3 linked regions of the Struthio camelus genome follow. The main gene of each other region encodes a partner of the protein of the gene in region 3 in a complex. Links are inferred from orthologs where the notes say so. Each region holds a gene or a part of one and is shown on either strand. Other genes may lie near its edges. The genes, in order: KL, FGF23 and FGFR3.

The links.
Region 1: the proteins of FGFR3 (region 3) and KL are in contact, whole or in part, in a cryo-EM structure (PDB 7YSU), measured with the Homo sapiens proteins. The link is inferred for Struthio camelus from reciprocal best matches to the Homo sapiens genes FGFR3 and KL. Residues at the interface, in NP_000133.1 of Homo sapiens: Gln286, Leu288, His290, Val291, Val293, Gly299, Thr303, Pro304, Tyr305, Val306, Thr307, Val308, Leu309, Lys310, Glu320, Leu324, Ser325, Leu326, His327, Asn328, Val329, Glu332, Asp333, Thr338, Leu340, Phe347, His349; in NP_004786.2 of Homo sapiens: Ser539, Gln540, Phe541, Thr542, Asp543, Asn545, Val546, Tyr547, Leu548, Trp549, Asp550, Val551, Ser554, Lys555, Arg556, Leu557, Val563, Lys566, Arg568, Tyr571, Val573, Ala576, Pro580.
Region 2: the proteins of FGFR3 (region 3) and FGF23 are in contact, whole or in part, in a cryo-EM structure (PDB 7YSU), measured with the Homo sapiens proteins. The link is inferred for Struthio camelus from reciprocal best matches to the Homo sapiens genes FGFR3 and FGF23. Residues at the interface, in NP_000133.1 of Homo sapiens: Glu157, Arg158, Asp160, Lys161, Leu163, Leu164, Ala165, Val166, Pro167, Arg223, Asp244, Leu246, Glu247, Arg248, Ser249, Pro250, Val277, Tyr278, Ser279, Asp280, Ala281, Gln282, Pro283, His284, Ala312, Gly313, Ala314, Thr316, Thr317, Asp318; in NP_065689.1 of Homo sapiens: Ser29, Leu32, Gly33, Ser34, Trp36, Tyr43, Ala45, Ala47, Arg48, Asn49, Ser50, His52, Ile75, Arg76, Ser77, Glu78, Asp79, Ala80, Gly81, Val83, Val84, His117, Gln118, Thr119, Asn122, Gly123, Tyr124, Asp125, Leu158, Ser159.

What each region holds. Positions count from the first base shown.
Region 1 is NC_090942.1:198,394,830-198,404,314, forward strand, and holds the start of KL (klotho), read right to left. Parts: upstream 4,493-9,485; 5' UTR 4,486-4,492; coding exon 3,739-4,485; intron 1-3,738. UniProt on the Homo sapiens protein: May have weak glycosidase activity towards glucuronylated steroids. However, it lacks essential active site Glu residues at positions 239 and 872, suggesting it may be inactive as a glycosidase in vivo.
Region 2 is NC_090942.1:84,396,532-84,406,838, forward strand, and holds FGF23 (fibroblast growth factor 23), read right to left. Parts: upstream 4,174-10,307; 5' UTR 4,037-4,173; coding exon 3,814-4,036; intron 2,238-3,813; coding exon 2,134-2,237; intron 1,602-2,133; coding exon 1,164-1,601; 3' UTR 1,055-1,163; downstream 1-1,054. UniProt on the Homo sapiens protein: Regulator of phosphate homeostasis. Inhibits renal tubular phosphate transport by reducing SLC34A1 levels. Up-regulates EGR1 expression in the presence of KL. Acts directly on the parathyroid to decrease PTH secretion. Regulator of vitamin-D metabolism.
Region 3 is NC_090945.1:78,284,290-78,294,149, reverse strand, and holds the start of FGFR3 (fibroblast growth factor receptor 3), read left to right. Parts: upstream 1-5,129; 5' UTR 5,130-5,227; intron 5,228-5,367; 5' UTR 5,368-5,415; coding exon 5,416-5,596; intron 5,597-8,451; exon of another isoform or gene 8,452-8,614; intron 8,615-9,860.

The sequences.
Region 1 (9,485 bases), on a different chromosome or scaffold from region 3:
TTAAAGGACAGGGAGGCTTAGGGGTAGGTTAATTTAAACATGTATGAGCAAGCATCGAAAACTAATGAGCACAATTACTTCTGTAAATATGTGCGATTCTTCAGAAAGTTTTCCCATAACGTTTTATTCTGCCTCTCCAAAATCAAAGAGGACTCCCTATGTTAGATTTTGAAAATATTATCAGAATATTTTAAGCTATCTTTTTACTGAAATTTACCCATTCCGGACTACTGATAAGAAATTGGAACAAACTGTTAAAATGACAGAAAAACTTCAGAAAAAATCAAGGTAATTAAAAAATTCAATTCAACAGGATGAAATCCATTCAAGCCAAATTTCAATGTTATTCAAACTCCCTGTTTCCACCAGCCCTCAATTGAACAGCCTGAATTGAATCAACTCTTATTTGACTACTTTTTCAGATAATAACTCACGCGGAAAGACAGAGCCCAAAATCCACATTTGGATCTGCTGAATTTTAAAGAATTTAAAGGAAATTATTTCATCTTTCAAAGTAATTAGCGTCAACTAAAATAAATGACTTGAAATTTGTGTTCACTAGCAATTAATCTTTCTCCTCATAAGGGTCTTTGTTTGAGGCAGAGAGGTTGAAAGAAGATAATCAAAAGTGATTGCGTGTTGTAAATATACACAAAACTGTGAGAAAACACATTCAGTCATCTAATCTGTCAAGATCCAAACATTTATGAGAATATGTTTTATCTTTTAAAGGACAAACATATCTTTCACTGGGAAACAGAGACAAGAAGATCCCTGAGAAGGAAACAAGACTAGGACAAGCCTGGGACTGGTAATGGAAGACATAAGCAACAGGAGTTTGGGTGGCTGAAAAGTTTTTTGTGAGCGGAGATCAACTACATCTTTCCTGGAAGGGCTTGAGGACTACAGCCCCCAACAGCACTGCCTAGCGCTGTGCCCCCGCTCCAAGTTATGTAATGAAGTGGCAGACCCACAACTGCACAGCCTTCTGATCCAAATCCAGGCTGCGTGTGCTCCTGAGAATGAGTGACCGAAGTCACTTACAAAACTATATGCAATCCCTCCCTCCTGCATTAAAAAACATTATTCAAGCTGTAAAGTCAATCACTCAGGAGTCAGGCAGAGGAAAACTAAATCTGCACATGGAAATGTAATTCACTCCCTTTAACACACGCGGAATAACTTGGTCTTTCATTACATGATCACATACACTTTACGGATATCAAGCTGTGTGTTCAGGGAAGCCATATTCTGAAGCTGCCTACTTCATCGCTTGCAAAAGTTGAAAGGTGTAATTACGGGGATGTAAGAAACAAAAGAAGAAACTCACTGTTAAAGCCATTAAGTTTTCTGCCCTGAATAGTCAGGCCAGATCTCTGCCTGTACTAAAGACTTCTGCCTAAGCATTCATGGATGAGAGCTTCTCTGCATGAACTGCGCATCCCTTATTTTCTGTGTGGGTGATCTGAGATTTTGGGATCCAACCAGCAGAAGAGCTGAATGTATAACTGCCCAAAAATCACATGCCAGGAAGAGGGCACCAACAATTAGTGGATACTTTTGACCTTAATTGCCTCTGTCTTTCGGTTCCTCATTTGTCAAATGTGGAAAAAATGATACCTCCTACCTTACAGAGCTGTGTAAAAAGAAATGATCACTGTTTGTGAAAAAAATGAAATGATAGTCACTAGAAGAAGACTGATTCAGAGATTATGTCACTAAAATAGTTATAGTAGACTTTCCTGGTCTAATTTCTTATACTTTCTATATGCCTTATGAAAGTCTGTGCCTTAGTTTTTCATTTATGAAATTGGAAGAAAGCACTTCCCTTCTTCATAGGACTTTTGTGAGAACAAGAATATGCTTGAGATTAGGAGGCGCTCAGATACTATGGTGATGTGAGATATAAATACTCGGGAAAAACAGCACTGTGGAAAATTCATGGAGAAAATAACCATTACATTTAGTTATCTGTTTTCAGAGCCCTGTATTCAGACCCGAAGCCGCAAACCGAACAACCAGGTGGAGGGGAGAACCACACAGAATATTGAATTGGTACTCATCACTTGTCCATTTTGCACAGCAGAGGAGAGGCTTTAGAAAGAAAATAAAGTGACAGACAACATTAAAAGTCCAAGTCAGCATGCCTATGACTCTCAGAGCTGAAGTAAGAATTGCAAGGTAAGCTTTCTTTTGACAGTCCGAGAGCTCAGATTTGCAGCTTTACTGATTTCTTTTGCATATGATCTATACAAAGTCGGAGAAATAAAACTTCAGCTCCCAAGATTTTGTCACCGATGGCACCGAGTCTACAGCCCTTACCCTTGTGCACAGTCCCACTGATTTCAGAATAACTATGCAAGTATAGCAAATAATTTGTGAGTAACTATTTAGAGATTTTCTGAAAAGTGTAATGATCACTGATAGGCGACAAAGTCTTGCTGCAAAATTTGGGGCTAATACTGCAAATGCTTAAGTTTAGGAGTACCTTCACTCAGAAGCAGATTCAGTTCAGTGAACTGTACAGTCACGGCATCAAACTCAGTCAAGTACATCCTAAGAACTGCTTAAGAGTTTAAAGGTTTCAGCACCAGGAATTTAAGTGCCATCTGAAATGCTACCCCTGTTCAAATTACATCCATGTGTACACCCATGTACACCCCTCTATTTTGTCTTGAAACACTTTTAACACTAAATGATGCAAAGTTAATGCATAAAAGAGGCAAAAGTTGACTAAGCCATGAGTTGGATGTTTTATCAGCGTTCTCATTTCATATACGATACTCACTCAGGAGAACAATACGCTTGCCAGTAAGCATATATTGAGCAAATGAACACTAGCAGAGTTTAGGAATGTGCATTCAGGTAAAATAGATTATTTCTTAAGAGCTGTAACTAAATACCACTCCAGTGAGACATACTGAATCTTTTACTCAGTCAGTGAAAAAGATTTGCACACACTTTTGCTTAATTCTGACAAGTGCTTCCAGCAAACCTTACAAATATACCATATATAAGTAAATTACATAAAAAATACTTATAACAAAAAAGTTATGAGACTTACTAGCCTAGCTGGGGAACACAGGGTTGTTTCCCCCCCAAAAAATGTTCTCTTTGTCCAGAAAAATCCTACTCTGTTAAGAAATATTTTTGGTAAGACGTTTCAGCCACCTCCACCACCTCCGTTAATTCAACCAGACTTTTGTATCAAACACATGAATTCTTTTTACAGTTGTATTTAAAATTTCCACAGCAACTTGAAGCGGAGGCTGGAACCAGCACTGGTCTGAACTCAAACGTCCAGAATCGCATTCACAAATGTCGGGAGACCAAAATTAAACATTTCTGCAGTATACAAAGAACATTTTAATTCGGTGTGTTTGCATTAAGTTGAGGGAACTGCAACTACAAAGTTTGCGCCTCCAATTTATGAGCCTAAGGCGTCTTTAACCCCTTGAAAAGGCTACCCGCTCCAAAGGGGAACAGAATGGATGTTTAATTCTGATGCTCACTTCATATTAATTTGCCTTTTTTTCCCCCCCTTTACTTTAGTGGCTGTCAAAGGCACGGAGCAGCCTGAGGGCAGCTTCCCACAGGCCCAGAGCTGGCACCACCTGAGGGTGCCGCTCTCACCGCCGCCTGGGGGGCAGCACGGCACCTTCCGGAAGGAGGAGAAGAAGGCCCCAAAGATGGTGGGGGAGCCCCTTCCCCCGCCCTCCCACCGCGCCGCCGTTTTACCTGCAGCAGGTGGTGCGCCGCCCTGTAGCCCAGCCGCGGGCCGCCCCGCACGCCCGGCGGCAGCCGCCCCGTGCCGTAGCCGTGCCAGGCCACCACGTAGGGGTTGTCCATGGTGAGCCAGTAACGGACCTGCCCGCCGAAATGCCGGAAGCAGAGCTCGGCGTAGTCGCGGAAGAGCTCGGGCAGCACGGGGCTGGCCCAGCCGCCGTAGGCGTCCTGCAGGCGCTGCGGCAGGTCCCAGTGGTAGAGGGTGACCACGGGCTCCACGCCCAGCTGCCGCAGGTGGCCCAGCAGGCGGCTGTAGTAGGCCAGCCCGGCGGGGTTGAGGGGCGCCGTGCCGTTGGGCAGCAAGCGGGCCCAGGCCAGCGAGAAGCGGTAGTGGGAGACCCCCAGGCGCCTCAACCCCTCGGCGTCGCGGAACAGGTTGTTGTAGCTGTCGCTGGCCACGTCGCCGCCGGCGGGCTGCGGCGGCCGGGCGGCGGGCGGGCGGTGGGCGAAGGTGTCCCAAACGGAGGCGCCTTTGCCGCCCTGGCGCCAACCGCCCTCGGTCTGGTAGGCCGCGCTGCCCACCCCCCAGAGGAAGCCCTCGGGGAAGGTGTCGTGCAGGAAGAGCTGGTCCTCCGGGTAGGGCAGGCGGGCGAAGCGCGCCCAGGTGCCCGCGCCCTGCCCCGGCACCGCCAGCAGCGGGCGGCCCAGCAGCAGCGCCAGCAGCGCCAGCAGCGCGGGCGGCGGCGCGCAGGGGGCCATGCCGGCGGGCGGCGGCGGGGCTCCGCGACGGCGCCTTCCCTCCGCTCAGCCCCCCGCCCCGCTCCCCGCCCCTCCTCACCTTCCCCCCCCGGCCCCCTTTTATCCTCACCTCCGCCCTCCCCCCGCCGGTGGGCACGGCTATTAATGATTACCTCGGAGCTGCCGTCGCCAGCCTGCCCGCCCGGCCAAGGGGGAGCGGGCTCCCGCCTTTGGGGAGCGCCGGCTGCGGGGGCGGGATCGAGGAGGGGCGGGGGGGGAGGCGAGGAGAGCGGAGCGGAGGGCGGCGGCGGGGGGGTTTCCTCGGGGGAAGGAGCAACTTGTCTCCCCTTCGGGGCCGCCTCGGCCACCCGCAGCCCTCTAGGGCGCAGAGCCCGTCAGCCCGCCCCGTCCCGAGGTACCTGCTCGGGCTCTCTCCCCCCCCCCCCGCCCCCGCCACCTCGCCAGCGGCCCCTGAAACGCTCAAAACAGCTTTTTTTTGGCTGAGCCCACCCGATGGCCGGAGCGGCAAGCGCTGCGGCGCCCGGGAGCTGTCCCGCGGCCGGGGCGCCGCCGCCGGGGAGCTGCCCGCGGCACAGAGCGGCGGGCAGGCGGCCGGCCAAAAAATTCCTGGAAAACTTTCCTGGAGGCCCCCCCCCCCCCCCCACCCCACCCCACCCCACCCCGCCGAGCTGCTGCGTGGCTTCATGTATGTGCGGGGTGATCCAAAGCCTGCGGCTGCTGCTTTTTGGATTTTTTTGGTTTTTTTTTTTCCCCATACTCCAGTCTTTCCTTCGTGGTGCCGGGTCGAGGGACGTCGCAGCTGCAATAATAATTTAAAACGTCATGCATTAATAATTAAATAATTGTAGGCATGCAATAATGGTTGAAAACGAAATCATTGACTGGGGACTTCGTACGCTCTCACCCCCCCCCCACACACAATAATTCGTAAGCTGTCACCTCCAACTGACACCGCCTTTTCTTTTCTGGAGTTGCAGGTTGGTATATTTGGTTATTTACTGCATGCAAAACAAATTTCAATTAGAAAGGCCTCGCAGATCCTCATGGGGAGCAGAAAGAAAAAAAAGAAAAAAAGCTGTGTGTTTAAGTTTAATTATTTAGTTATGTCTGTTAACTGCTTGTGTGGATGTGATACGTGAACTTCTTAAAGGCAGGTCTCAGTCTGCTGAGAAGTAAGAATTAGCTTAAAATATTGCAGAAAGTTGGTATTTAATATTCAGTTATGTGAAGCCTAGGATGAGCTGGGGCATCTAAGAATAAAACACACCTACTAGACAGGCCGTTAAGGACAGAGAGATGTTCCCAGGAGATAAAGTTATTGTTTAACTAAAGAATGAAAGCATTAAGATAATTTCATTTTATTTTTAGAAAATAAGTGCCCTCAGAGGAGAACTCCACGTAATTGCTAATAATGAGTGGATGGATTTAAATGCCAATTGCTAGTGGACGCTGAGGTGCTAAAGGTGTTCTCTTGAGCCTAGGATGGGCTCTAACACCTTTCGTAATCACGGCAGAGCACTTTCTTTGCGTCTTTAAAGAAGTTTGAGCTTTCACCTTTTCCACACTAGTTCGATTTGATTTGGGGCTGCTGGGTTGTTTTGTGGTGTTTTTAATGAGGGGACCAAGGATCTGGAGTACCAGATGGTAGTAGTCTTCCATTGTTTCTGATTAATTTATTCCCATGTTAGAGGGATGGAGTTTTAAATTGCCCAGGGGCCCAATAGCATCCTTTTACTAAGGGCACAGCAAGTTTATGGGGTGGGAGCAGGGAAGAGAGCGGCAGATACTGCACCAGAGGCTAATCGTCCGCTGCAAGGAGTGTGTTTGCTCTACAGTCTGACAAGCTGGTGACATTTGATTGCAGTCTAAGTAAAGGATAACTTGAGCTCCAACTGCAGCAACAAAAAAGGTGTTAAAATTGAAATATGGATGCCCTTTCAGGAGGAAATGAGTAGTATCAGATAGGCTACATCAGATGCTCCCCATATTCAGGTGTACCAATCCCCTAGGAAAAATATTAGCACAAGCATATTAGTTGCTCTTCCACAGCAGGTTGAAAATAGAGGTTTGCTAAGAGGTTGTGCATGTACATTTGCTTTTACATTTGCGCACTCTTTTGAAGTATGGCTTGTTGGGTTCTGTTTGTTCTTTCGGAGTCCTAAGTTTGTTCTAAGGATAGCATCACACAGTAGATACTTGCAGAAGCTAGAGATTAAATCTTAAGTACACAACAGGACTGCTCTAGTCCTCCCTATGCAAGGAGTGAAGAGTCAGGCTCCTATTCAGCTACTGACCTGATTCCAGTGGAAGTTTAATGCCTTTGCCTGGGACTTGCTGCCTAAGTATTTTGAAAATCTTGGTGTAGAGGCAGATCTCAGAAACATCTAAGCCTAAAAAAAAAGGCTTTGGAGGTGTCAAATCTATTACTGAGATTTAAGGGGAAAAAAATTTTGATGGGTATCTGGGGACAAAAGACGTTTTAAAATATATCCTGATGCATTCTCTTTTAATTTGCTAATTATTAACTAAAACACAGTTTAATCCTATTTATAGTTAGACCCTTAACTGAAACACGTTCATTAGGATCTCTTTTTCTGCAGAGCCTCTCTACAGCCAAAGGAAAGAAATAGTGTTAGGGTGAGTCAGCCTATGTAAGAACTTAGTCAACTTCTGGAGGTGCCTGCCTTCTCCAAAAACTATACAAGGAACCTACAGTGAGTATGTTCCTGAACTCGGCAGCCCAGTTTTAAGGGGTGAAATCTGGCCATGAGTTGCTGGCACAAAGCTGGCACTTCACCTTTATGTTTATCAGATGAAAACTGGGTCTTAAAGTATAGAAGTCAGAAAAAGTGCACCGCTACCTCCATTTACCTGTTTTTCTCTTTACAGAGAAAGCTTGTTTTCATGTTTCAGAACAACGCAACCACCCTCTGCTCTGGGCCAATATATATTTTTTTCTGGTCTAAGAAACACTGTGCAATATTAACCATGCAGAAAGGTCAGCCAAACACTTGCAGACATGCAGGTTTCTCTGTTTGCTCCTTGAGTTCAAAGCGTGGCTCCATCGTGTCTGCCCTGCTGAGCAAGCACACAACAGCAGCCCAGCCCGGCAGATTTGGATTTGTTATCTTTCAGCTTTCTTTGTATTAGTGATTAGTGAAGGCTCAACTTCTGGTAATATGTATGCTGGATATGGTAAGTGACAGTATAATTTTCAGTCAGCCTATACTCAGAAATTTTCTTTATCAGTTATGCAGCAGCATGCAATCAAATTCAACAATGTTGTGACTGAGCACTTTTGTTTCCTTCCTAAGGAAACAACTTTCGGGGATACTATCTTGGCTGAGGGGCCATGATTACTGATGGCATGCAATTTTAGGTAAAGCAACTGTGTTGATGATTTAGATTCATTTAACACCTTTTCCTGATGTTACGTCATGCATTGGTTTCAATGCAGCAACCCTCCTCCTCATTTTAAGATCTCTGCAGGATAGCGACCTGGCTTATAGTGGTGGCATGTATACTCCTACCTTTGGCAGAGCAAAAGGCCTCGGCACCTGGAACAGCCATTTTCTGTTTTAATACCCATTCTTCGTTTACAAGCAAATTTACAAACATTTACAAGCATAAAGCCAGTTGAAAATAGTCTTGTGTAGTAGATCAGCCCTGGTGAGGCCTCACCTGGAGTACTGTGTCCAATGCTGGGCTCCCCAGTACAAGAGAGACATGGCCCTACTGGAGAGAGTCCAGCGGAGGGCTACAAAGAGCAGCGGGGGGGACTGGAGCGTCTCTCCTGAAGAAAGGCTGCGAGAGCTGGGCCTGTTCAGCCTGGAGAAGAGAAGGCTGAGAGAGGATCTCATCAATGTGTACAAGTATCTGAAGGGAGGGTGTCAAGAGGATGGGGCCAGTCTCTTCTTCGTGGTGCCCAGCAACAGGACAAGAGGCAACGGGCACAAACTGAACCACAGGAAGTTCCATCTGAACAGGAGGAGAAACTTCTTTGCTGTGAGGGTGACTGAGCACTGGCACAGGTTTCCCAGAGAGGTAGTGGAGTCTCCTTCCCTGGAGATATTCAAAACCCGTCTGGATGCGATCCTGGGAAATATGCTCTAGAGGAGCCTGCTTGAGCAGGGAGGTTGGACTAGATGATCTCCAGAGGTCCCTCCAACCTAAACCATTCTGTGATTCTGTGATGTTTTCAGTCAATTAGTTTAATTGATTTAATTAGTGTTCAATCAACTTGTTCGATCACTTGTTCTATATGTATATGTGTATACATATGTATATGTACACGTGTGATATATTTTGTATCAAAGCCTAATCAATACTGCCCTAAGCCAAGTTTTGGGATTTTCCTCACATCCATCATGCAGATACGTCAAACACTATTTTCGTCAGAATCCCACAAATACTAGAATACTAGCACTCTTACTAAATACCATTCTATCTCTGATTTCCCCCTGAGGAAGAGATGGGCATCTTATTGTTCAAAATATTAATCCTCCTGTGATTTCAGGTGTGGGTAAAGCAAGATCTGATATTAATTATGGCAGTAGATGTATGATGTATAAATATGTGTCACCTTTCCACAATAGTACTAGTAAGATGAAATTCAGTTTGGGGTTCAGACAGCTACATATCTTTAACAAGAAGTAGATGGCTAAGTTCCCAATTTATTTGATGGAGGTCCGGCCAGAGTACACTGTGGAACTGGTGAGCTGAACAGCCCAAATGCACAGAACTCTGTTTCCTACACCTAGGGATCTGGTATCATTTTACATGTACTAGGGTATCCTATTTGACTTCCAGTTGCCATTACAGAAGGGCATAGGTCTCCCACATTCAGTTGCCAGTATAAAGGCAGACGGTGTCATTTGACATACCATAGAATGGCCATGGTATCTACCCAAGACTGACAGATATAACAGAGGGTCTATAAGGGACCTGTCCCCTTTCAGAGTATCAAGTGGCAGACAGATGAGATACCTACTCAAATGTCA
Region 2 (10,307 bases), on a different chromosome or scaffold from region 3:
CTATGGAGGTTAGATTCCAAACTTATCCATAACATAGACCAATCTGGATGTCTAAGGAAAAGGCTTTGTCAATATTTAGAGATCTTATGATGAAATTAAAGTAATTTACTCTTACAAGTATAAATCATCTGATACCTACTCAGAACTAAATAGAAACAGTGATACTAAACTTGGACCCTCCTTTTCTAAATACATACTTCATTTTTACTCATCATAGGAGAATATGCACTAGCTATGAGTAATTTGAAGCCTTTGGGGCATGACTGATTGGGAATTATTTTTCCTAGCAGAGTTCAGCAGCATGCAAAATAAATTAACCTATCTGATACTATTAATTATTAGTACTCCTGGTACTTCTCTCTGTGTTGGAAATACATAAAAATAATATTTTTACATTATATTTCTATATTTTGACCCTAGAATTAAGTGAATATAGAAGTGTGATAGAGAAAGAATTGAAAGAACTTTGGGACTCTACTTGTTTTTTTCCAGACCTCAGCTTGGATTCAATAGGAGTCAGAACTGACTCTTTCTATGCAAGACCATTTGATCCCTGTTCTCTTGCCAGTTATTCCAATTTTCCATGTGCGCAGATCCTTTAACAACAGAGCAGTTGCTTTTTGGCTTCTATGGGTGTGAAAAGAGACTATAGCTCCAATCCTACCAGCTAAAACCATATACAATAAAGTTATTTTAATCATATAACACACCAGCAGACATTTTTTATGCTGAACTTGCACCGCCTGCTGTTGTGCTAATTAGAGGACTCCCTGCTTCTACTGGAATGAAGGCTGCAGAGCCCAAGTCTCTTTCCAGCTACACCAGTAATGTAACATTTGTTTCTTATTTTTCATTCAAGTGAGTTCTGTCCACTGACGCAAACTAAAGGTGATTCAAACCCCCAAAAGTTTGGTTTGTATTATTCTTTTTGCAGATATTTCTTTTTTCCAATAGCGTAGAGCCCCACCTGGAAAATATATGATTTGTTTTTTTCAGTGAACTGTCATCTCTAAGGGTGCGATTTGAAATTCAGGTTTTTTTCCATTGTCTTTCAGGTTTCTAGTAGCCATTCTGAAAGTTGGAAATTGAATCAAGTATGCTAGCCAGTTCTTCTCATCTATCACATTCATCCATTATTTCAATTTGCAAGTGGTGTGGCCCCATTATCTTGTAATATAGAAGCGAGGGCTCACATGCCTCCTGGCATCCATCATAGCGTGTGGGTCATCTGGGTTGACCACATCATTCTGATTGATTCTCATGGGTTCTCTGGGCACGTGGGAAAAGTCTGCTTGCAGCTGCAGCTGGGATCCTAATGCGGAGACCTTTCTCTGGGGCACCAGGATCTGGTGAGGATCCATTGGATCGACATCTGCACTTCTAGTGTTTCTGTGGGGCTCAGGTGTGTTGAATCGGAATAAAGGAATTTCATTTCTCCTGGACAGGAACTGGGAATATGGTGGTGGATTCATACCAGGGAAGAAAGCTTGTTTAACTCTGCCTAAGCTAACCAGGAAGTTGTATTTAGGAGACTGGTACACATCGTATCCATTTTCCAGGGTTCTGTGTTTGAACACGCAGTCTTCTTGGCTGAAGTAATGCTTAAGGAAAAAAATGACAGCTGTGAGCAGAGAGATTTGGTGATTAAAGAGTGCCAATTAAAAACAGAAAGAAGAATGAGATCTTGCAGCAGGTATCTTTCTGATCCCCTAGCTCTGCAGTAACAACTGAGACAAGGCTTAGTAAACTGTAGACTAATATATATGCCCATATTTACAGCAAAGGTATTTTTGGGCTAACACTGCTTTATCTGAGAGGATTGTATTGTCTGAGCTATTTCCAAGCCACGACTATAGACTACAGCAAGAATTCAGGTTGATCCACCATTAGATTTCATTCTGGCCTCATTTAGCCCAGCAGGACTTGCACGACTTCTGTCAGCTCTATGATTCAATACGATTGACAAGAAGAGGAAAGTTTAACCTACGTGTCAGGTTCTCAGCTGGCTTAAATCTGCCTCCTCCGTCACTGCCTCTGGCTACAGAGATTTGTCCTAGCTGAGGAAATTGGCCCTATGGTAAGAACAGCAGGCTGCAGCTGCCTCAGTCTTGAGTCTTAGCAAAGGTCACTCACCGATCCAAAAATGTTTCCTTTCATGTCCATGCATAGGTAGCGTCCACTCTTCACTCCAGTGATTATTACATAGCTAGCACCCTCGGATTTGATCATTAGAGCACCTATTTAGAAAAACAAAGATATCAAATCCAGGACACAGTTCTGCACTGGATTGTTGCCTCACCGATCCACAAAAGTGCTGACTGGAAGGGCCATCCCGGGGGTCTTTGGGCCACCATTCCACTCAAATGTGGACAAATGTGCTGTTGGCTCACATTTGGCTTGGTGCCCCTGTAACCCTCAGGACCTGTCCAGCAGGGCTCTGTCTGTGCAGTGAGGCTGCTCCAGCCTGTACCACCACCAGGGGTTATTTCAGCCCTGGTGCAGAACTTTGCACTTCTCATGTGTCTGGTGTCTCAGCAGGACTGTGGTGACCTGGTTCAGTTATTTTGCTTTCACAGCCCCTTTCCTTGTCTTATCTCACACTTTCTGCTCTACCATTTCAACTACCTGTACACTTGCTTCATGACAGATTGGCAAAGCATGGTATTTTGTTGGCTGTGATTCTCTACACCATCACACTGGTTCTTGACCAACACGACTGAATTTTTTAGACCCTACTAATATATTTGAAGAATAATAACAAGAGGATGCAGCCTTTCTACAAGTGTTTTATCCATAATTCATAAAAAAATAGCAGAACTTGATCATTTTTTCTCCTTAATTAAATTATAACCTTTTTAAAAGTCTTTTGTTCCTCATACACTCATACACAGGTATCTCTGGATATGCTTATATTTTTAGTTGAGTAGTTGAAGAAGATGCTACACAGTAGTAATAATTAAAATTACTTTCTGATTTATTGTTACTTGTGATCATTTTTCTACTAGTTATGGTGTTTGGGCTAGGTATGCAACAAAGAAAGGAGGATACCCCAGTTTTCCAAGAAAATAGATGAGGATGAGACAATTTGGGAGCCACACCTGCACTCCGAAGGCTTAGCACTTCATTTATGAGAGTCTGACATTTTGCGGTTTCTCCCAGTTTAATCAACCTTTGCATATTCAGTGAGCCACGTTCTATGCACAGTTGTGTTTCTACCAGGCAGTACATTAAAGGCACAAATCTGAAGCTTGTCTCACAAACTAATTTTCGATTCAGAGAAGTATTGGTGTACTCAAAAGGAAATGACCAACTGTACTGATGTAGTTGCCTACAGATATTTTTCAGCTCTCTACCCAAAAGTAAAGGTTTTATGGACAAAACCAGTTTTCCAGCACTTGTGTGGTGAGTTCACTCAGTATACTTCTTTTGCAGATGTTATCAATGGAATAAGAAGGAGATACTTGGGACATGTCATCACCAATCTCTCATTGGAACTTCCACAAGAAGCTGTGGGTAAAATCATGAAGTGAAGGATAATTTTGGTAGTTTTTGCTTGCAGAGTATCACAGGAATCACATAACTTACTGTAAAGGTGAAGAATCAGAATTCCTATCTGCTAGATTTCTTTGAAGCAATTTTGTTTATTTGTTAAACAAAAGGAATATTACAATTATGTGTATTTTCCATCTCGCAGCTGTCTGCCTGCCAACCAGGAGGATGGAAATTGCTATAGCTAGTAAGAAGGCAAAAAAAGACCATTGTCCTCTCTTCCCTGCTCAAATGAAGACCGGGGGTCCATAATGAGCTACTTACTGTAAATGGTTTGGTGCGGGACACCGTCAACGTAGCCATCAGCGTTGATTTGGAGGTGGAAGCTGTTCCTCTCCGTAGCTGTGTACAGGTGCATCAGGCGATCTGCACTCCCCCAGCTGGGATTCAGCAGTGGAGAGGAGTTGGGAAAGGCAGCGGTAGCCTTCAGGCTGCAGAGCACCAGCAGCATGCACCCTAAGCAGCTGTAGGGAACGGCCTGTGGCATGGCTCTCTGTCCTTAGTGGCTAGTCTGTACCTGAAACTTGATACTCCTCTTTGCTTCTCTCTTTCCCTGGTTTGACTGCGTTTGGAGTATGAATCCTCAGATGGGCTCCTTTCTTCTTTGCAGAGGCTTATAAAGGGTAGCCAAGTGACATCACACAGGAAAAACTTCTCCACATCCTTGATTTTTGTCAAAGCAACATTTTAAGTGGCCCGAAACCTCAAGGGAAGGAAAGCACGTAGGTTCTCTGGCTAAGGTGTGGGGGGGGAGCAAATGTAAGGTTTCTAAAGACAGCTCACAAAAGCTAATCATATGTTCAAATGTTATCTACAAGCCTGTGACATCTGAGAGCTTCCCACGCCCCTACTGTTAAATCCAGGAAGAGCAGTCTACTGTGCTACATAGAAAGCCTTTTGGGAGGGGAAGGGAACGAACCTTTAGACTTTGAACTTTTTCTCAGATATGTTTGTTCAGATTCCCACCTTCCCCTTGGTTTTCCAAACCACATTCTAATTTCACAGAAGCACCAAATACTGCTAAAATTTTTGAAGATGTGTCAGAAGCTGGTATTAGGTTAATCTGGGCCTGATTCCCCATTCATAGTGATGTAAATCCAGCAGTGAGCCTGTTGGACCGAAATTTATGTCACCTCCTTTAAGCAAGAGAAGCTTGATATGAGCGCAGCCCTCTTGAAATAAGCTCTCCCTTTTATTTCTTCTGATATCTTGAGTTACCTAAATAATTTGAAGTTGGCCAGTCAGCTGAAAATTACCTGTAAGATGCTTAGAAGCTGCATATTTGTTGCTGTACTGTAAGTCTAGGTGGCAATCATGTAAGGAGTCATATATGTTAGCATGGCTAGTAGATCTAGGACCCACATCAAAACAGAAATAGCTCATCTTGGCACATTTTTTTACTTGAGGTATAGCAAGCACACTTGGAAGAACTACAAAAGAACATGACCAAACTGAAAAGTAATAACTGCAAAGCAATGTTCAAAAATGGCTTAAGATATGATACCCACATTTTAGTTGTCCTGCCGAATTCTGTGGTTTTACAAATTTCCCAATTAAAAAAATGCTTCCATTTTCATTATGAAAATGCTGTATTAATGGGAGAGTGGTTATGTAGGTGAAATGATGATGATGATGATGATGATGACGACAACGGGTTATGAAACTAGGCTTTACTAAAGTTTCTTTCAAAAATGAATATAAAACTGAAGAGAATACTGAAAACTAAGTCAATCACTTTTTTAAAAAAAATAAATTTGAGGTTTTTGTTTGTAGCAGTCTTAGGTCCAGTACTTTCAAGCAATATACAAATAAGTTAGTCTCTAGTTGGACACAAGGTGTCAGATTCTCAGTTTCCTTAGTGAGCTGTGGAGCAGTGCCACGAGCACCATGCATATTACAGATTTTTACAACTGTATTCAACTGCAAAAGCTGATCTGATTTTTTTTTATCGTTTAAAATTAGCAAAACTCTGCCAATTTCTTCTGACATCTGTGTAAATCTAAAGGCTTACGTCAGTGTGTATACACCTGTGTAAATGACAGCAATTTTATGCAAAGTGCACTGGGGTCATATCTTAAATGGAGTAGATTAACAAAGTTGACTTCACTGAGAGGCAATTAAGGCTACAAATGTTTTACTGGGTGTAACATCTGAATGTCTTAATTTAAAAGCTAGTTTGGAAGGAAAGGATGAATATTATTTCTTTTCTTTTCTAAGTGATGTATCTACCTTAGTACTGAAATTATTCATTCATTTTTTTCAGTCTGGTATTAGAATCCAAGGATTTCTAAAATTTTTTTGGTCTTTTACTCCCTTTCATTCAGACTAGTGTGGAAATATGGATGGGGATACCTCAGAAGCAGTTGCAAAAGTTTCCACAAGAGAGTCATATACAGGATAGATTGTCTTCTTGGAAGTTTTTGTGATCTTTTTGTAAGTGGAGTTTTTCTGGTGTGATATTTCATATTCATCATGATTTTTGTCTGTGCTTACCTTTATGCGCTGATCTGATTTCTCTCTGGTGTCTTAGCTGCAGAGAAACAGTTCTCATGTTTCTGAAAAATGTATTCAATCATCTCGGCACATGCCAGTTGTGACCAGCCATTTCTCTTTTTTTATATATGGCAGACAAGCAGACTATTTTCAGGTGCTTAAATTGTTTGGCATTTTCAAGTTTCTCATGGGGTCAGTAGCACTCCAGGCTTTGCTGAGTTGTGTTTGTTTAAGCTGACAGGCTAAAGCAAATTTATTTAAGTTTCTGCTTGTCAGGATGGTAATTCAAATTTTGCCTTTTAATGCACATTTTTACTTTAATTCTATATGCAAATTGGTGATGCTTTTTTAACAGTCCATTTCGTTTTTGTTCCCGGTTGATCCATTTATTCCTTCTGTGGGTATGCCACTTAACTTCTCCTACCCATTCAGCTGTTGCTGAAGTAACCAAGCAGATGAAAGCTTGCTTACTTGTTCAGCTCTCTAAGTTAGCCTAATGAAAGCGATTAAAACCTTATTCCTCTTATATCCTTATGCTGTTGCATCAGTAGCAATAATATTTTCATAACTTTTACCATATATGTTGATATTTCTTTTTTGTCTATACTGTTTTCAGATGTTTGACCAATCAAGACAGCTTTTCTAGGTGTCTCCTGTACCTAAAGAATTAGGTGCAGCATCTTGTAGAGGGAAAAAAAAAAAACTGAATTTGAAGACCAAAAATGTCTAATCAACCTCAGAATTGCTATTCTTCTTTAAATACATCCTTAATTCAAATAAATAATTCAGGGAAGCAGGTTGGTCCCTGCTATGTGGAGCCTCTTGAGCAGACAGGAGGCAAGGTGAGTGCCATGAGGACAGCAGCTGAAATACACATGGATCTTGAGGCATGCTGGTGGAAAAGGGAAGGACTGCTGTGTCCTTTAGCAAGGGAGACCGAATACAGACCTTTCTGCCATCAGGGTGGCCACATTTCCCTCTTCCCACCTCAGAAACATGGCACAGCTGGGGTCGGGTGACACAGGACACAGGACTCTGCAGGACTACCTGCAAAGGTAGCGGTAATCACTGACAGCCCAAAGGCAGCACTGAGGGTGGATGCTGTCACCAGCAATGAACAATAAGGAAAGTCTCCCTTAACCGCATTGCTGAAGAGGAAGGGATGGATCAGACCACTTTGCAGTTGAAATGTATGTGAGAAAACGATTGATGCTCTGCACCTTCCCAGGCTGTTTCCCTCCTCCCCTGCCGGGCCATCACCCCTTACCTGCTCCTACCGACTCTGTCCTCTTTGCTTTGGAGGTAGCAGAGGTCTGGCAGGGTTGGTGGATCTGGGAGCTGGGCATCAGTGGTGATAGGCTCATGCCTCATCACTGGGGCCTACCACGTGGGCTGCAAGTGCTAATCCAGAGCACACAATGACCAGCGGACACAAAATACCAAGTATCTATAAGTGAACATAATCATTTTCTGTGTCCAATGAGACAAATATGTGGTGGGAAGTTTTGTAATTTAATTAAATATGAACATTTAACTAAAAATTATACCCAGAACTATACACAAGGGAACTGAGTTAAGGTAACAGGAGCCTGAGCTCTGAATTCCCACATTTTGAGCACTTTGCATTTCAGCCTCAGGTCATTTTTGATCATAACTTATGATTTCAAATCTGTCAAACCCTGAGCTTGGCAGCTGCTCACCTTCCCTTGTGCAACTGCTAACAAGATAACTCCCTTCTTTCGTTGCTTATCACTTCAGTCAGCTACAGGGGACTTACAGGGCAAGTGCAAACTTTTTGAACACGTATAAGTTACTACAAGAAATTCACTCTTACTTACCTTTTGCAGGCTCTTTAAAAGTGCTTTATGCACCATCAAAAATTTGCAGGTTAAAAAATGAGTTTCCTGCTTAGTATAATGAGGTTACTTTCCAGGTCCTCTTATGAATAAAAATACGTGTCTCCTCACAGTGTTTGACTACCTTTCAACATGTAGACACACGTGTAGGGTTGTTGCTTAATAAAGCATGCTGACCTATATTTAAACAGGTGTGTGGCTTGTCATTTTGCAGAACCCTGTTCTGGCTGAGGGCAGGGAGATGTTCACCAGTCTGTCCCCGGGGCTGGCAGCCATGTGAGGATGGGGAAGAATTGCCCCTTCTGTTCCCAGGTAGCTGGGATGACCCTCAGAAAGCCTTCTGCTTTTTGCTATTTCAAAGATCGCAAGGGAATTTGGCTTGACAAATCTGAAACTGCCTCTTTTTTTCACGCTTTTCTCTGCACTGCATCTCTTCTAAGAGGTCAGAGATTCAGGGACACTTCTCCCTTCTTCCCTCCTCCTTAAAATCACTATAATGACTCTGGGACAATCACATCTTCGATGTTGGAAGTACAAGGGTGGAGTGCCTCTCTAGTAGTTATTCTTGGAATAATGACACACCAGGACAGCGGTGTGTACTGTGGATGCCCTGTGTGCATGTGTGTGCATGAACCTTTGCCACAGACTTTACCCAGTGTTGTTAAACACATCCTGAGTGACCTTATTTGGATGTCCCATCCTTGTCACGCTGCCCACGACTAAAGCAAACATCCTGGCTAGGCTCACCTACGTGAAACAAATGAAGTAAGCACAACCCACTGCATCTGGGACCGCAGCATGCACTAGCGATTTCTGCAGTGTGCTTGCCAAATGTATGGTCTTGGCTCTTCTATTTTTTCCCCCTCACCTTTTCTCCATGTAGTAGATGTTTTGGAAAGCCATTTCCAGTTTTAAAAGTGCTAAGTCACCTGTGCAGGCAGACAGTGAATATTGCTGGAGTATCTCTTGGACACCTATCCCTGCATTATGCAGGACATACATACAGTCTTTCTGAGAAGTGCTTGTCTTTTCTTCTTGGGATTTTTATTTCCAGACAGATGGAAGACTGGAAGAAGCTTTCCACTCTGGTTTGCCATTCCTAAAAAGGAGCAGCTTTTTACCAGTGGCTTTAGAGACTATGGGCTTTCAAAATTTAACACAGCAAAGACGGACACCAACAGAAAGCCGCAACACTGCATGGCACTCTGAGGAGGAAGCAGGTGGATCAGGCTTCCCTCCTTGTAAGTGTCTAAGAAGGGCCTTGATGATGATGCTCACGTTATTTTGCTCTAACCAGCTGAAATGAAGGGCCCTGTTCCTTCTCTAGCTGAAAGCACTGTCAGAGCTCCCAGGCAGAGCAGGACCAGTTCCTGAAAGGCTGTATTTTTTGAACAGAGACTGTTTTCATTGTTTTAAGGGCTCTGAATTTTCATAGGTGATGTGGAATAGAGAATGGTCACAACCTGTGATGGGAGCTGCTGATACTTTTCATTGCCAAGGAAATGCTTTTTGGAGGGTCCCCAGCTGTAGTGCCCATTCCTTGGGGGACAGGAAGCCCCCTTGACTGGGGAGGAGCTGCTTGTCCTGCAGCTCAGGTCAGTAACTGGACACAGTCAGCCCTGTGAATCAGCTCATAGACTTGGTGATGGGTAGATAAGAGGAAGTATGTGGACCTGGGATGACAGAAATGAGAAGAGCTGGGTCCCAGCCTACGTATATGCGGGAGGCAAGTGGTCAAGGCAGGAGGTGGAGCTGTGAAAGGATACACCAAGAAAGTGAAGGAAGAGGGCACAAAATGGACCTCTCCATCTGTGACTGGGAGAGCTGCTGCAGCTTGTACACAAGAAAACTTTGAGGTAGTCTGATTGAAGGCCACAAATGGCTGAACCAAGCTCCCTTTCTCAGTATCTTCTGGTATTAAGTTCTTCAGATAATCTGTGGCTTTAAAAATACATATATTTAAAATATATATATTTTATTTTTTCTATATATAACTTGTAATTTCATATAATGTACCATAAGAGTGAATGAGAGTTTCAAGCTAATTCTGTTCCTACACATTTACTTCTATCAGCTCTCAGATTTTTTCCCCTCAAAATTAGACACCCAGGTCAGTCTGATCTCTCAAATGGAGGTCTCTGCACACTTTCACTGAAAGTCTTTCATTGTTCCTGCTACTGCCAGGATCCTAGTCTGAACACTTTGATTCAGTTCAGTTCACTCTGTATAACAAAATCCACATGTCCAACAGTAAGGACCTGTAGCATTTGCCCATCCCTTGTTTCACTGTATGACCTTTCCTCCCTACACTGTTTTCCCCATTGTTTCCTATATACTCTAATGCCGCTTAACTTAACACGCTTGCATAGCTTATCACATGAGGCAGTAATACTCAGCTGAAGAAGCCTG
Region 3 (9,860 bases):
ACTGTGTCAGCACTGCCTTGTGGGAGCACACAGTCAGTAGTAAAGCAGCGTTAAGAATGACTGATTTGTCCCTGTATTCAAGCCTTCCCCTAAAGTAAGACAAGCGTGCCACTGAGAAAGAGCTTGACTGAAAACTGTAGTAATAATGTCTTAATATTGACTAAAATTCTGCAGTCCTCAACAGATAGAAGACCTCAGCTGAATTATCTTTAACTCACATTTATTTTAGTTGATGGCTCTTTATTTTGACAGATCTTCTGCTGCTCACGACACATTCCTTTCCGGTACTGCAGAGTGGGGCAGATCCCCCGAAACGCCCCTGGAGAGAGGGATACGGATGCGAAAGCCAGGCCCTATGGCTGGGCTGGGAGTCACGAGCCACACTGGACAGCATGAAGCGCGGTTCTCGAAATGGCTAGAGACCAGAGAGGATTTCATCCCGCGCATGCCGCTGCTGGGGCCAACAGCAGTCATTAGTGAGGCCCATGGGCTGGAGCTTGCCTCTGGGACCATGCCACACAGATGTGATAAGATCCCAGTTCTCATGGTACATGGGTGTGTTCCTGGAGTAAATCCTAGCTTCAGGACAGTTACTTAAACATGACTGTGGGTCTCCCAGAAAACTGCCTTGGCAGCGTCTGGTTTATTCTCACCGGCATCAGTCTTCGCAGACCGGTGGGTGACTAAGCAGCGTGTGGCTTCATTTCAAATGCCCCCAAAGTTAGAGGTCTTGCTATGCCTGCAAATGAAGTGCTCCAGCCAAAGTTTATCTGAAATGTCATATATAGTGACTGTTTGAATGCACCGGGCAGGCAGAAGTAATATCTCTGTCTTCTTCTCTGCAGGCTCCAGATGCTTGTCTTGGTTTACTCGGAGGACTAGGATAACCAGATCTGCAGGACAGGTGAACTGCATCTCCGAGACGTGCTCGCAGGAGGGCGCAGAGCCAGCCGGTGTCCCATGCTGCACGCACGGTGGCTGTACTGAATCAAGATTATTTCAAGATCTGATTTTAAATCTTTGCTTCTCACACCCTCCACAGGCTCTCTCCAGTTTTTTTCTATCTACTTCCGCAAACCGTCTAGTTTTCTCTCCAGGCTGCCAAATTATTTCACCTCTGCCAGAACCTCCCCATATGCAGCTCTTGCCGAAGAGACTTTGTGCGTCTCTCTCCAGCTCACTTGTTCTTTCTCGTTCCTCTTCAAATCAAATTACTTCTCCCTTAACAGAGCCTTCTCTTTCTCACTTCCATGCTGCTCTGTGGGGAAGTAAACTCTACAGGATGAAGTTGTGCTGTAACCACCTTTCAAAGTGATATGCTTCTCATTTGCAAGCACAGAGAAAGCCTTCACATGGTGGCTTAACCTTTCACAGTGTTTACCCTGACAATCATTTGGGTCCTTAATCTTAGCAACAATGACTATCAGCTTGAAATTCAATAAACCTGCTTGGAATCGCAGCCCTTTGGACTGGCTAGTTAATAAAAACTGGTTTAGCCATTCCAATGTGCCTTATTGATATAAATAGATAGTGACATGATCTCTGGAAAATTTACTCCCGTGTCCACCTCCACTCCTGCTATTTAACCCTTTGATTCCAAGGGCTGGACGCATGCAAATGGACAAACTCTGAAGTAATATTTCAGCCCAGTCTCATATGTGCTTCTAACGAGGAACAGGCTGGTAAAGCCCTGGGGAGCTGTGGTGCTCAATCTGGCTCACGCGTCTCAGTCCTGATAAGAAATATTTGGTGATATTTATTCTGTGTACCTAACCTGATATGATTCAGAGACTCGTGTGACCACGTGTCCATGTAATTCTACTGCATCTTGTTCAGCATATTCAAACTTGCACTGAAGTTTCACTTGCTTCACTGCCCTGTTCCATCTCAGGATAGCTTCAGGAGTTGTTTTCTGCCCGCTAAGGAAGCAAGTTGTACGAGGACCCATTGATGGGGATGTATGGCGTGGTGGGATGGTGTACCAGCCCCCAGCATCATTTTAAAGATCTGTATGGAGGCCCACGATGTGTCAGTTCACAGCAGCCACCATGCTCTGCTCTCTGCTTGGTTAAATACAACAACTCAGCTATGCAGGTAGGCAGGAACTAATGGTTTAATCAATTTAAAAAAAAAAAAGAGCAAAGACATTATTTTGCCTCATTCTTTTCAGTGGCCAGATTTATGCTTAAATATATTTCTGCATAGAATAGTTCTAATGTGCTGGCCCACCACTAAAAATGCCGTTTCTAGCTTTCCTGCCTGAAGCCTGAAGGGCATCAAGCTTTGGTGGAGAGGCCTGGCAGGAAGGCAGAGAGCGAGCCGTGGAGAAAGGGAAGGGAAGGGAAGGAGAAGGAAAGGGGCGTTGGTCCAGGGCCACCTGCCTTGGTCCCTGAGCTGAATTACCTGTCGGTGGGAGCAGGGAAGCAGGGAGAGCCATGGCTTACGGGAAAGGGGCAACAGGAGCAGGAGCAGGGTGTGGGGGCGCAGCCGCTCCGGGTGGCCAAGCACCTCGGCCAGGACCAGGGCCGGGAACGTAGCAGCGACCAGCTTTGACACTGAGAGCGCTGCCACCACATCGTATTTCAGCCCCTGCCTCGGAAAAAAGGGGCAGCCGCTCGCTGTCCCAGAGCTGCCGAAAGCGGGTTGATTTTCATCACGGACAGCTCTGGATATTAAGGGGCTAAACAAATACAAAGCCCTGGGAAGGGCAAGTTTATAAAGGGTAAGAGGAGAACAAACACTGGGGTGGTGCGTGTAGATCGGCGTAAGGGGGACGCGCTCTTAGGTCGAGGTGAAAGGAATACTCTGCGGCTAGGATGCATCTTACAGCATAGTAGTCCTAAAATAAATGCTATTGGGTTGAGCAGGGTTTACTAGTCTACATACATTGAGTTTTTTATAGTAAGAATGTGGCTGAGACATAGTCCAGAAACACAGTTTTCACTGCACAGTACTGCATCTCCGGCTCTGTTACAGTGGCCACCGCAGTGATGAACTAGCATCTAAAAATCTGCGCTTAATCGGGTCGGTGCTCCACAGCCTCATGTGAATGGGCTGCACCAGAGGTTAATAAACGGGAAACCTAAAAATATCCCACCCTAGGGAAAACTGCCAACCTTGAAGTCCTTTACACAGGGCTATCTCAATACCTCTTTGATTTCCTGTCGCAAAGGGCTTCCAAATGTTGTAAGCTTTCAGTTTCTCTCCAAAAGAAAACCAGTTTGAAACCATTAAAGGGCTAGGTTTACCTGATTTGAGACACAGACCTTTAAGTCTCTCAGCAGCCTCTGGTAGCAGCTTTAAAACTCGCTTGCTTTGGATGGGACGTTTCTATCCTGTCGCCCTGGCCCGAGAGGGACACAGACACGTTTGGCTTCACCTGACTCCGCATTTTCACTTACTTTCTTGCTTCAGCTGCGGATTGAGGAAAGCTCCTGACTTTCCTTTGCTGCTCTTGTGAAAAACGGAGATAATCACAGGAAAGACGGTGAGGATTCACCAATTAAATGCTGTGCTGCTCTTACCCTGCTGTCTTTACATGAGATCAGAATTTGGCCCTACCTTTCCAAAAAGTCATCATCAAAATAATAACGGCAACAACTCCACATGCAACGCTACTTTCTTCTCACTATAATTACGCTGTTGTTGTTGTTGTTGTTGTTGTTGTTTTCACCAATTTTCTGGCACCTCTAACACAGCAGTTGTGAGAGAAAACATCTTTCAGTTTGACACACTTCCCAGGCGAAATAACCGCGTTTTATTTATATGCCTGCTTTTCCCTCCATTGTTTTCGTTTAAACTGCCTGTGACACTTGCGAGAGTCTCTGCTGACATGCAGGATTTCCTCGCTGCAGCCCCGGTTCAATGCTTCCCCACACAATGCCGTAGTATTGAGATGTCAGACTCTCCGCGCCTGATAAAGGTGTCAAGACGGACGCCGAGCTCAGCGACAACAGCACCGACGCAGAGCCCCGCCACGGAGGTCGCCAGCAATTCCCGCCTTCTGCCGCGCCGCCGAAAGCGAAACCTGCCCCAGCAGCTGGGATTTGGCTTGCAGAGAGCAAACCTCAAGGCCGCCTGAGCTTTTTACACGTTTCTCGTTCCTGAACCATCTCACCCTAGCTGTTAGCAAGTTGGGGTTTTGGGGGACCCTGCGCAGAGCGCTTTCAGCTCTGATAATAGTTGCACCTCTCAGATTTCAGTGAATGAATTGCTGCGTCAAGAGGATTAAAGCAGAGCTGTGACCTCTGTATGAAGCAGCTCAGATCGCTTCTCAATGATAAATGTTGCGTGTCACTTCGGCGAGTCAGCCACGTCTGGGGGTGACTGAGACGACTGCGTTACCCAAAATCGTAACAAGTGACATTTAATCAGATTTTATTAAAAGTAGCTGATCCAGCTAGCAGCAGTGAACGCGCAGAATCCAAGCAGGGATACGACACCGGCGCTGGGTGTTCGGCGGGCCAGGGCAAAGGAGTCCCCGCCGTAGCACAGCAAACCTGCCAGGGGAGCGGGCGCATGGCGCTTTCAGCATGCGAGCCGTTAGGCTGAGTGCAGGCACCGCTCGCAGGCGGCTTCTGCCATGCCACGTCCTGCCTAGACTGCCCACGACCCAACGGAGTCGGCTTAAGCCAATTCTGCCTCTTTTCAGAAAACTCGCCCTTGCTGTTGTAAGGCCAGGGAAAAAAGAAAAAGGAAAAAAAAGAAAAACGAAGTCTGTGCGCGTTTCATGGCACACTATGGCAGGGCATGGGGCCACTTTGCGCGGCCGCAGTCTTAGGGTTCGTACTTAGCACTGCCGGACTTCGGACCGACTTTAACCCCGCCGACCCCGTCTTTCCCGGAGCGAGGCGAACCCCCTTCTTCTCCGTGCGATTGCAGTCGGGCCGGAGGTGCGCGGCGCTCGCACCGCGCCGACCGCATCCCTCCTCCCCCGCCCGCGGGGCGCGCAGCGGGGCGCGGCCCCCCGCGGCGGCGGCGGCGGCGGCGGCGGCGGCGGCGGCGGCGGCGGCGGCGGCGGCGGCGGCGGCGGCGGCGGCGCGGAGCGGGGCGGGGCCGCCCGCGGCTCGGCCCCGGCGGGCGGGGACAGCGCGGCCGCCCCGCTCCGCGCCCGCGCCCGCCAACCAGACGCAGAAGCGCCGCGGCGGCGGGCGGGCGGCGGCGGTGGCGGCTGCTCGGGCGCGCTCCCTCCATGAGCGGTGCGCGGCGAGCCGCGGGGCTTGCGCAGGTAAGCGGCTCGCCGGCGCCGCTTATGTGCGCGCGTCCCCCCTTTATTTTTTTTCTCCTCGCTTTCCCCCCTCCCCCCGCCCTTTTTCCCTGTTTCGGTACGCGGGGGGGTGCTGAGCGGCTCTCTCCTTCTCTCGGCAGCGCGGCGGCGGAGCGGAGCGCTGAGCGGCGGCAGCATGCGGCCGGAGGATGTCTGAGCCGGGCGGCGGCGGTGCGGCGGCTCCCCCGCGCCCGCGGTGCCGCGCCGGAGGCATGCTGGCGGCGTGGGGCTCCCTGTGGTGCCTGTGCTTGGCGGCGGCGGCCGGCGGGCTCCCGGCGGCCCGGCGGCCCGGCTCCCCCGCGGAGGAGAGGAGCGGCGGGCAGCCCGCAGGTGAGGCTGCCCGGCGGGGGGACGCGGCGCGGCGCGGTGCGGCGCGCCGGGCGGGAGGCGAGCGTGGGAACGGGCCGCGGCGCGGCGAGCTCGGGGGCCCCGGAGGGCGAGTTAGAAAGGCGGCAGCGCGCTGCGCTTGCCGGCTTTGGGAAAGTGCTGGCCGGCGCTGCCTGCTCCTCCGCCAGCGGCACTTTCGGCTTGCCCAAGCCAGCAGGACGCCCGGGAAGGAAAAATCGCTTTTCAGACAACTTTCCCTGCCTTCGAAGTTCCTTCTCTCAGTAACTGCCGCCGCGGTGCCGATCCGGGGTTTGGCCGTAGCCGCGCTCGCAGCTGAGCGGGGAAAAGCAGAGAGCCCTCCGTGCGCGCACGTCGGAGAGCAGGGGGAGGCATCTGTGCCCGCGTTGTAGGAGCGGGACGGGAGGTGCCACCGCTCCGCTGGCGCCGGCGCACGGCTTAAGAGTTGGGATTGTGCTGAGGAGGGGAAAACATCTGCGGGAATGCAGTAAATATCTCCCCTCGAGTGGAAAGCGTTGCAGTCGCAAGTGAAAAAAAAAAAAAAGTTAACGCGTTGGGCAAAAGCTGTTTAAAAACGGTACAGCGTGTTTGAAATGTCGTGTCTCTCTGATACGCCTCAGCTGCTACCTGAGTCCCTGTTTATTTTTCAAAGCTCTTTAATGGAAGGTAGCCCCCTCCTAGTCCCCTGTCTTTAAGATTGCGTGTACCCAACAGAAAGTTTCCATTGTTCACGAAAGGGTTTGAAGCATGTTTGCCAAAAAAGTGACAGGGGAATAAATGGGCTTCGTGGAGGCTGGGGGGGGGCATTACTTTCATACCCCTTTTGGTTAAAGCTATAAATCACACAGGGGGTTGGTTTTGTTTTCAAGAAAGTACTAATAAAACACCAGATTCTTAGTGTAACTCGTTTGGCTCATTTTTCACAGCCAAAAGAATTGATTTATGGGGCAACATCTCAGCTGCTTTGTCAGAGCAGATGAGATTGGTGTTTAGGAGGAAGCAAGAGCAGTCTGTGCTAGTAACGGTATTAGGAATCGACCAAAATTAAGGTCAGAACTTTTCCCCGTGTTAGCCTGAAATATGTATTTGCGCTGTCACTTAGAGCAAAATTCTTTGGGGAGCCCCAAGGAAAGTGTGGAGCAACCTCAGTGACTTCCTCGGGGGTCCTCTGGATTTACACTCAGGCAGGCTGAGCTCACAGCCGGGGACTGAGATCGTGGGCAGAAAAACAGTAAAAACCTTTCTGTTCTTTAAGACACCCACATTTGCACGTTAAGATCTTAGGGTGGTGTTTGAAATTTAGCAAGTGACGTGCCCTTATAGTCGTCCGGCGTGTTGGTGGAAGGGAGGCAGCTGAAGAAAATGTCCCTACGGTGATGTCTTTGAACTGAGCGATGCTCCAGGATTGCCAGGCGCTCTGGTGGAAATCCTGCGCGGGCAGGTTCTGGTTTCGTCCCCCCGGCTTTTCCGAGTAATGGCACAGTTGTGGTCCTGCTGTTGTTGCTGCTGTCAAAACTCTCCCGCGCTTCCCGGGGAGCAGGATTAGGCCCTCCGCGGAGGGCTCCCGTGGGCACGGACGCGGAGCAGCGTTTCCGAGCGTTTCTCCGGCAGTACGAGTCGTGCAGGGAGATGTGACGGGAGAGGAGGGGGTGGCGCGCGCGGGGCGGGCAGGCAGCGTGCTCCGGAGACGGGACCGAGCTTTGTAACGCCAGGCTACTTTTTGACTGGCCACGTGCACGAGGGAAGCGTGAAATATCGCTAGCGATACCCGGGCTGCTTGTCGTGATATCTAATTGACTCGTTAGGCAAGGGCAGAGGACCTGTTGCCAGCGCGTAGGGCGCTCTTATCTGGGAGAGAAAAGGACCTGCAAAAGCAACTGTAAAGAATATAAACCTTCAGAGCCAAGTAAAAACACATTTTACTTTTCAAGCTTTGAATTGAATGGTAAAAAGCAAATTCTTTCTCCTAGTCAAATGGGCCATGGGGTATTGGCTCATTACTGAGGGTTGTTGTTCACTAGGTTTTGCATTTACAGTGTAAGGCCTTATTTTCCATAAAGGGGCTTGGAAGGATTTTTCCCTAGTGATCTAATTCTCCACACGGGGCTGTGAAGGCTGTAACAGCTACTGCTTTGTGCCTATACTCAGCTACATAAAACACACATTGAAGGGAGGCATTCTCGAGGTATGTGTATGTTTGCTAATATGAATACTAGCTATTAGTGGAGGTGGAGGGGGTGCAGGTTTTAACATCTCCGCAGGGAGGTGTTCGGCTGTTGGCAGGAAGGAGGCAGATGGCGGGGCTGTTGCTGAATAGAAGCTAAACTAAAAACACCAGGGGCCTCATCTGGGCTGAGTTTCTCTTCTCTCCCTTTCTCGGGGCTGCTGCAGGAAGAACAATGTCATTTTTTTCTTTTTTTTTATGAATGAAAGTAGAGAGGCAAGGCAGGATTGAATGTGTATGTCATTCAGCGGCTATGACAGAGATGATTAGGGAGGTCAGTGAACTCCTTTGCAGCCTTGAGCATGCGGTCACTCTATTCAGCAGCCACAGAATAGACATCAATATAAAAAAGCCCTTCCAATTTGCATTAGTATTCAGATAAAGATATTACTTGGTACGATTTGTGAATGTCAAGTAATGCTGGCTGTTTTCTTAGAGAGCAGACCAACAGAAACAGCAGCATTTCTCTTCTAAAGACTTCTGATAACAGGCTGTCTTCCGTATCTGGTTTGTGCGTGTGCATACGTGACACATGGGAAAAGTGAATTTTTGGACGTCTTAGGATTTTTACTACACTAGTTAGCTGCTAAAGCTGTGTATATGCATTGACAGAGTTGCGTAGAAAGCTGTTAATGTTTGAGAAAGTTTGTGCGGCAAGGGAGGAGCTATCCGAGCGTGTCAAGAGCAGTAACTGAGGTTTACTTGCGTAGTACTGTAGTCGAGTTGTCACCCAGAGTTACCATACTGGTCCCAGCAAGCAAGCCAAAGAAATAGAAAAGGTACCATTTCACGTTTTAACTTAATTTAAATATTGGGCCAGACATTCTTGTGACTTTTCTGCTTGGAAACAGCGGTGATGTGCCGATTGAAAAGTTTTTCTTTATGCAGCTTATAGCAACTTTGGTTTGTTTGGTTGGTTTTTTTTAGCCTTTTCAGCTTCTGACGAGGATATTGGGTAGGATGTAGGGTATTATGGGCCGGGTCGTTTTACTTTGTGTATCTAAACATTCCAAAGTTCACCCTGAAATTAGAGTTGTATTTGAGTGAGTGCTGCGTGGCGCTGACCATTCCTGGAGTAGGGTTCTGGGTTTATACGTTCTCGTAAGGAAAGCATTTCAAAGCCCTTTAAAAAAGAGTCCCTTATAAAGTATTGTTGCTTTCTACTTTATATCTCAGACCTGAAATCCTTTAGATTCTGTGGGCGGCTATGAGTGAGATAGTTTTGCTGAAGAAAGTTGTTTCATTTATTGTCTTAACGGTAGCAGATTTCAAGAAGTTAATTAAGTCTTTAATGTTGAGACTAGCATATTTTACAGAGCAATAAAATTAGAGGGCATGAGTAGGGGATGATGAAATGTGGCTTTTTGGTTTTTAGTCTATTCTTCAGCTAGCAAATAGTGGCCTGGAAAATCTGTTTCAGTGCGGAGACCAGTTCATTAATATATTTGATGCTAGATGTGTAACATCACCACCTTTTACATGTACTGACAAGGGTCACTCCAATTAAATCTCGGGGGGGAGTTCTTTTAATTAAGACTTTATTAACAACCATTGAGTGGGGAATTTCATTAAAGTAAATCTTAAAATTGCGTAGTGAAGAGTTGATCTGCTAATTAATTGAACAACGCAATTAAATTAAGCCACTCTGACCAGCGCGTTAAGTTTTGTAGCTCCCTCTAGCACACCTTCACCGTTCTTTGGGGAAGCGTACCTGTTCAGGAGCCTTCCTGAACGTGGTTTTTGCAGTTAGATGAACGCTAAAGAAGTCTCGACTGCGGCATCCCTGAATCGGGACCATTTCCGTCCTGCTGCCTGGGCAGGGCTGAAGCCTTTTCTGAAGCGAACTGAGGGCTTTTTTCCTTTCTGTAGCACTGGGAAGCAAAGTCTTTTCTCTTTATGTATGGTCAGTAAAAGTGAACTTTGATATCAGACTGTATGTTTTAAAGCTGTCCTTCCAGAAAATTTACCGCATCCGTCTGCTGTTTCAGTTAGAGACCCTAAAAAGATATGGAAATTCACCCCAGT